Macaca mulatta: one gene and its partner. The protein of the gene in region 1 purifies or fractionates together with the protein of each later gene. This does not show direct contact. Links are inferred from orthologs where the notes say so. Each region holds a gene or a part of one and is shown in the gene's direction. Other genes may lie near its edges. The genes, in order: ATP5F1C and ATP6V1A.

Region 1 (4,266 bases):
TATGAGTCCCACCTAAAATATCTCTTCCTTCACTTGTAGAAACACTGGATTAGATTATTCCAATTGCCTCAGTGTTCTTCCACCCTTACCCAATCCAGTCCGATCTTCGGAGAAAATTATGATCACATCGCTAGCCTGCACAGCATTCCATCAACCACCTCTTTAATGGGGAAAAGCGTAAATTCCATAGTGCAGCATATAAGGCTTTTCAAGATCTGCCCAGACTCCTTGAGCCACTCTATATATACTTCACTCATTTAAAACTCAACGACAATCCTACAAGTAGGTGAAATTATTATTCCCTCTTTAGAGATAAGTAAAGGAGAATATAAGTAAATAACTTGACCAAGACCACATGGTTGGTAAGTGGCCCAGCTTGACTTTAAATTTTGACAGTCTGATATATCCATAAACCAGATAAATCCATAATCTTAACCACAGTATTATTCAGTGCCCGGTACAGTGTAGGTTCTCAATAAATGCTTGCTAGATGAGTTGTGTGGAAGAGCTTAGCTCTCCTTTTTCAACTGATCCCAAAAGAGGTGTGAATCCTAACCACCCTGTTTCTCTTAAGAGCCAAGTCAAGTCAGAGCTGATGACTGTTACTGGCATTGCCCGGGCATCTAGTATTGCAGTATCCCCGCCCCTGTGAGGGCTGCAAAACCTTTTCTGATGTCGTTTCTTTGATGGTGGGGATCGGAACTAGGGAGGAATGAGGGGTCGCAGAACACAGGCTGCCCGCTGGCCCCGCGGGCTGCGGGGAGGGACGGCTCTAGTGCGCTGAGTAGTTGACTCGCCCAGTGCAGACCTCAGAAGCCTCACGACCCGGATCCCAAGAGCCCCGGCCCCGCGCCCTCAGTCCCGCGTCCAGGACCTGATCCTGGATTCCCAGGGGCCCTCCTGGGAAGACGGGGCCACTCCGAGCCCACTCACCTCGTCCCGGCACTGCTTCTGGCACATCTGGCAATACCAGCGTAGCTTCTGCAGGCCCTTGGACTTGATCCTGTTGGCGATAGCCTTGGGAGTAAGAAAATCCGACTTCCCCATGGCGACCACGGCAGCGGTCACTTTCTGGACCCTAGTGCCCAGCAAGCCGGAAACGGAACTTGGCTGGCGGCGGTGGGCGGGACAAATCCCAGCTGAGAGGCGGAAAGAGGTGGGTCCTGGGAAGACTGGGTTGCAACGCTCGCGAGGCTCCTCTCGCCGTAGCGCGAGGAAACGAGACTGAAGAAGAGAGCGAGGTGGGAGGGACGCGCTAGGAGGCTTCTGCGCATGCGCGCTGAGGCCTGCCTGACCGACCTTCAGCAGGGCTGGGGCTACCATGTTCTCTCGCGCGGGCGTAGCTGGGCTGTCGGCCTGGACCTTGCAGCCTCAATGGTATGGCAACTTGCGGGAAGATCGGCAGGACCGCAAGGGATGGAAGAGCTTGGGCACGGGGCAGGGAGGAGGAGATGGGCGCAGGAGCAGATCTGGGGTCGCAGGGCCTGACTGGGCCCCTGGCCCCTCGGAAGCGCCGGGTAGCGGGGGCTGCAGAAAGTGGCTCTGAGGCCGGCGAGGCGTGCGCAGGGCCCGGCTCCGGCGGAGCAAGGTTCCGCCCGGTCCCCTGAGGCCGAGGGCCACCTGGGACCTCGGGACTGCGGCCTGAGTCCAAATTGACGTCTGGGCGGTCTTGAGTTCCCTCAGCTAATCAACACTTCCTGAGCTTCCACTGCGAGCCAGGCCCCCAGTCTCAGGGCCCGCGAGGTGTCGGGAGCCTGAGCGATAGCCCAGGGGAAATGTTAAGTTGTGCTTTTTGTCCTTGACGCCCTTTGAAACCCTCCAGTGCTGGACAGAGTGACCCTTTAAGATTCGATCGAGTCAGAGAGCGCGGCCGTCGAGCACCTCCCGTGTTGCAGACGCTTTGCTGGGTGCTGGAACAGCAAAGGCGAACATCCTAGATGCCCCTGAGGGTGGTCTTGGTGCAGAAGGGACGGTATAGATCTGTCTGAGGGCGGGGAAGGGAAGGACACCTAGCACTGCCTTGAAACCACTTGCTGACACCATAACCCTGCAAGGTCATGAAATTGCCCCAAGGTCCTAGGGGGAGGAGGTCGGTGGGCTTTAAGTGGTATTTGTTAACTGAGGTGCAGCTAAATGGTGCCACGAGCCTCGAGAATTTTAAACATTAGTTCCAGGTGGGGGGACCTGGGCTGGGGGAATGCATATTAGAAGGCCTGGGAATGGGCAGGTAAAAGTTGGTTTGTGGGTCGTGCTGTTGAGTTTTGAATCTTGACAGAATCTGGAAGAATTTCAGACACGCTGCTAAGGGGATTATAGGCTGTGTGGTAGCAATTCCCTGCTCTAAACAGTATGGAGGATTTCTAAGGCGCTACAGTTTTTTGCATCCTAATTTATATTGAAGCGTCCATAAAACATTAATTGAAATAAATACGTTTTGCATTAAGCAAATAACTGATAGTAATATACGAGATTTTCAGAATGAAATCTGATGTGAATTAGCCACATAGAATTTTTGGTAGCTTGGCCTTAGAAGTCAGATTTTTTTTCTCTAATACGGAAAAATAAATTCATGGGAATTAAAAGGTCACTGTAGTTGGATTCTGAGTTGTATAGATTGCCCCACTTGTTAACTAACCACTCAGCAGACGTTAGCTGAGTGCTTGCACTGCACCCGGTGGTACTTGGAAGGTGCCAAAATGTGATGGTGAACAAATAGATAAGGTCTCCGTCAGCTTCCTGGAACAGTGCCTGGCATGCAGTGGTGCTCTGCGAACATCAGCTCTCCTGTCCTTACCTTCTTGCCACGCATTAATGTTATCTGTCAGTATTTTTAGAACCTTAGTTTAGTTTCTAAGTCGATCTTTAAAAAAATGGGAAGAGTTTCTTAAGCAAAGACAATATTTTACAAAAAAATTTAGAAATACCTTTTTTAAAAGCACTCGTAAGATAATTTGAAGCTCTTTTAGTAAAGGATCGTTTTAAATAATTAGCGCTCTCAGTTGGAGACAACCACTGTTAGGAGCTGAAATCGGAACCTCAATCAGCATATAAAGGTCCTAATCCTGACCTTAATCCCTTTGGAATAGTGGTTTTAAGTCATCAATCAACAGTGTTCCACTATGGAAGCATATTCTGTCCTCTTCTTTTCACTTATTCCTTCACTCCTGGTGCTTAATGTCTTTCTTGCCTCTTCTGCCATTTCTCTTCCCGTTAATTATAACTGCCTTTCGAATTCAGAAATTAAAACCACTCCACAGAATTAATTTGGAAGGGGAAAAAAATACCTTTGCCTTAACGAACCATGAAGAGGCATATTTCCACGCTTCTGTCTCGATTACTGGAAGTTTTTTAAAGTACAATTTGTTATTGTTTTAGTTTTCGTTTTCAGAGAGGTTACCATACTAACATAAATTAAACATTAGTCTTACTTAAATTCGCAGTGGTTATTTTAATAGTTGTTAGGGTATCGGTAAAATACCCTTTTTGAAAATTAAACCTTTTTTTTTTTAAAGTAGCATTTAAGAAAATGGAAATAAAAATTTGGAGAGAAAGAGTCCCTGATTTTACTGTCTTCAAATCTGGGAAAAACTTATTTCTATGTCTTAGAGTTCAGTAGTCTCTAAAATGGAACTGTTCTATAATAGCGTGTCAGTAGTCATAAACTACATACACCGAAAAGGAGATGGCATTTCAGGAGAGAAAAGACAAATTGTCATCAGAGACCATAAGGGCAGATATTTACTAGTAAATGTAAAAAATGTTAGGCAGCAGAGTGTAGTACTGTATAAAAAGAGAGACTCTGTAGCCAGCCCTGAAGGGCTCCATTCAGATGGCAGGGATTGAATTCTGATTGCCACTTAGCAGCTCTGTGACCTTGGGCGGGTTACTTAGTGTCTGTCCCACCAGTTCCTCATCTGTCAAATATATGCAATAAAAGTGCACAATTCAGTGGGTTAGTGTGAGGATTAGAGTATTTGCAAAGCATGTAGGACAGTGGGAGAAATGCTGATAGGGATCCAAATGCTGTATATCATTACATAAATGAAGAGTTTAAGTACAGTTTCTACATCAAATGTAATGTAAGAAAGATTGCTTGGACTTGCCAAAAGAGGAAAAGAAGATGCAGTCGCGGGTCAGGCGCAGTGGCTCACGCCTGTAATCCCAGCACTTTGAAAGGCCGAGGCGGGAGGATCACAAGGCCAAGAGATAGAGACCATACTGGCCAACATGGTGAAACCCTGTCTCTACTAAAAACACACAAATTAG
Region 2 (3,818 bases), on another chromosome or scaffold:
TACGAAAATTAGCCAGGCCTGATGGCGCATGCCTGTAATCCCAGCTACTTGTGAAGCTGAGTCAGGAGAATTGTTTGAACCCAGGAGGGAGAGGCTGTAGTGAGCGGAGATCATGCCACTGCACTCCAGCCTGGGTGATAGAGTAAGACTGTCTCAAAGAAAAAAAAAATTGCATGGTTAGGACAAATATGCTTCAGAATTTTTTTAACTTTGTTTTTTAAGAAAAATTACTGTTTTGTTTTGTTTTTTTTTTAATCAGGTGTTCTGGGGCTTAGATAAGAAACTAGCTCAGCGTAAGCATTTCCCCTCTGTCAATTGGCTCATCAGCTACAGCAAGTATATGCGTGCCTTGGATGAATACTATGACAAACACTTCACAGAGTTCGTTCCTCTGAGGACCAAAGCTAAGGAAATTCTGCAGGAAGAAGAAGACCTGGCAGAAATTGTACAGCTTGTCGGAAAGGTGAGTTGTTAAATTCCATGGAAAATAGATCTGTGGGTTACACTGGGGTGTTACAAGAACAGATAGAGCCTTAGATATTGCAGATTCTTGCCTAGCAAAATAAATATTTATTAAATATTTTTAATTGAAATTTTTAATTCATTACACTACTTAGCATGGTTCTTGGGTATATTGTAGGTGAGAAAGAAACACTTGATTTACTTTTATCTTGAAATGGAATATACCCATCACCAACCAAATTAGAGGTGGTAGAGTTAGGATTTGTTAACATACATTTTTGTAGGAATGCTAGGGCTAGGTACCAGAAGGATTGGCTTATAGTTCCTCCATTAATTAGCTATGTGGCCTTAACCAGGTGACTTACATTCTTGTGTCTGTATCTTGATTCTTCAAGGAAAGGTGGTGTAATTAAATTTAGGCAAATTAAATGCCAGAATGAAGACTTCTCAGGTAGTATGCAGTGCTAGTTAGTACTCAGAGTTCTCTGTCTGGTTTTGTTCTTTTTATTATATGTTATAAAGTCACCTCCTAATTTATTCCAAAAAAGGTTAATATTTGGAGATAGCTAACATTGTAGCATGTATTACTACTTATTATTTGTAGAATAAAAATATTCTCTTATCTGCCCAATAAGAGAAGCAAGAAACAAGAAGAACTGTAAAACCAGATAAAGGCAATACAAGAAAGGAAAAATATAGGCTAATATTGTTGATGAATGTAGGTATGAATGTAGATACTTAATAAAATATTAAATATTAGAGTATGAGGTCCAGTAGGATATTAAAGACAACAAAATGATACATCATAAGCAAGTTTATCTCAGGAATGTCCATATTAGACACAGAAGATCTATTGTAATTCACTAAAGTAATAATCGGAAAAGGATATCTCTATTAATGTAGAAAAATATTTGAAGTTTATTACAATTTTTAGAAACAGCAAACAAGGAATGGAAGAGAACTTCCTTAATGTGTTGAAAGTAATATACTAAGACCTAGGGAAACCACTTTACTTACTGGAGAAATTTCAGATGCATTTCATTTAAAAACTGGGGTTAAGACAAGCATGCCTAATCTCATCACTGTGTTCAGTCGAATACCAGAGATTATAACCAATGGTGTAAGAAGAGAAAAAAGAAAAATTGTAAAGAAAGAGATAACAATGTCATTGTTTGTAGATAATGTGCTCTTATATTAGAAATATAACAGAATTAACAGAGAAACAGAAGTAAGAGTTCACTGGGGGGTTATGATTCAAGATAAACACAAATCAAGAGAATTTCTCTACACTAGCAATACCAACTAGAAAATAAAAGTAAAAATAAGATGTTCTCAATAGCAACAAAAACTAGAGTGTAGGAACTAACCAGAAATATGTATTTCTTCTATGAAAACCACTTTTAAACTAATAAATGAAACAGAAGATGATCTGAAAATAGAAACAGTCCATGCTCTTGGATGGAATGACTTATTAAAAAGATGCCACTTCTCAGCCAGGCGTGGTGGCTCACACCTGTAATCTCAGCACTTTGGGAGGCTGAGGCGGGCAGATCACGAGGTCAGGAGTTTAAGACCAGCCTGGCCCATCTCTACTAAAAATACAAAAAATTAGCTGGGCATGGTGGCGGGCACCTGTAATCTCAGCTACTTGGGAGGCTGAGGCAGGAGAATTGCTTGAACCTGGGAGGCGGAGGCTGCAGTAAGCCAAAATCGCACCACTGCACTCTAGCCTGGGCGACAGAATAAGACTCCATCTCAAAAAAAAAAAAGCCATTTCTCTTTAATCTGTAAATTCAATGTAACGCCAATCTAAAATTCATTTGATTTCACAAAGATTCACAACCTTAAATAAGAACAGTAAAGTGTGAGCTTTTCCCCTATTGGATAAGGGGAAATACAAAACCATAATAATAAAGATAGTGTGGTATTGGTAAAATAACAGACCAGCAGACCAGTGGAACAGAATAGAGATAGACTTATGATTGTATAAACCATTGATAATGCAAAGATGGTACCAAAAATCAAGTGAGGAGAAGATATATTGTTTTAGTCTGTGATAGAAAACTGTTTACTATTTGGAGGAAAAAAACAAAATTGGATTGTTCTCTAATTCCACATACAAAGTTAGAATCCAGATAGATTCACAATTTACATGGGAAAGGTAAGACTTTCAGTTTAATAGAAAACAAATATTAAGAAAATATCTTTGTGATCTAGAGTTGGAAAAGGACTTCTAAAATAAACCCCTTAACATTAGCCTTAAAACAATAAAAAGAGTTTTTTGATTACATGAAAAGTAAGCATTTATGTTTAGCAAAGGCCTATCCTGGTTAAGGGTAACAGACCAGTGACATTGGGAGGGAAGTTTGTGACATCTAAAACTCATGGACTGGCTGGGCATTGTGACTCACACCTGTAATCCCAGCATTTTGGGAGGCCGAGGTGAGTGGATGGCTTGACTCCAGGAGTTCAAGACCAGCCTGGGCAACATGACGAGACCTTGTCTCTATAAAAAATATAAAAATCAGCTGGGTGTGGTGGTGCAGGCCGGTAGTCCCAGCTACTTGGGAAGCTGAGGTGGGAGGATCACTTGAGCTCAGGAGGTTGAGACTACAGTGAAGCGATATCTCGCCACTGCACTCCATCCTGGGTGACAGAGTGAGACCCTATCTCTATTAAAAAATAAGTAAATACATAATAAGATAAAAATGTTTAGAAAAATTTTAATTTTAAAAATATTTTTTAAAAAATTAAAGAAAACACCGATGGACTAATGTCTAAAATGTACAAAGATCTTCTGTAAATGAATAAGAAGACTAGAACTTCAACAGAAATGTGGCCAAAAGAAAGAACAGACTGACTATAGAAAAGGAATCCCAAAAGACTAAGACCTATGGAGAATTGCTCAAACAACACTGAGAACACCACATTATACTAGTTAAAATGTCAAATATTGCCAGTGTTGTGGAGACAGAGGAACTGGTGGGCGGATTGTCTGGTGCTGCCATTGTGGAGACCAGTCTGATAGGACTGACTTACATACCCTGGGACCTAGCAATTCTGTTTCTGGATATTTATCCCCAAAGAAATTCTCAAACAGGTCCTTAAGTGGATGTTTGTGGTGGTGGGGAAATAGAAGAAATCTGAAGGTCCTCTACTGTGAGCAAAAGATGGAAGGTAAAATAGGGAGGGTGCACACCATAGACGATGAAATATATGAGAGCTGGAAGCTGCAGACCATGTGGCACAGCAGCATGGGTGGATCGAAACAAAGTACCAAACCAAAGACACAAGTAAGAATGTTTTACATAATTAAAGACACTTGCACAAAATAAAATACACATTGTACATGAATT

Evidence for each region.
Region 2: the proteins of ATP5F1C (region 1) and ATP6V1A fractionate together in Homo sapiens (co-fractionation; 3 studies listed by BioGRID). This does not show direct contact. The link is inferred for Macaca mulatta from reciprocal best matches to the Homo sapiens genes ATP5F1C and ATP6V1A.

Annotation. Positions count from the first base shown.
Region 1 is NC_133414.1:9,288,640-9,292,905, forward strand, and holds the start of ATP5F1C (ATP synthase F(1) complex subunit gamma, mitochondrial), read left to right. Parts: upstream 1-1,292; 5' UTR 1,293-1,321; coding exon 1,322-1,377; intron 1,378-4,266. Other genes in the region: KIN (DNA/RNA-binding protein KIN17), read right to left, coding at 934-1,047.
Region 2 is NC_133407.1:169,928,053-169,931,870, reverse strand, and holds part of ATP6V1A (V-type proton ATPase catalytic subunit A), read left to right. Parts: intron 1-259; coding exon 260-463; intron 464-3,818. UniProt on the Homo sapiens protein: Catalytic subunit of the V1 complex of vacuolar(H+)-ATPase (V-ATPase), a multisubunit enzyme composed of a peripheral complex (V1) that hydrolyzes ATP and a membrane integral complex (V0) that translocates protons.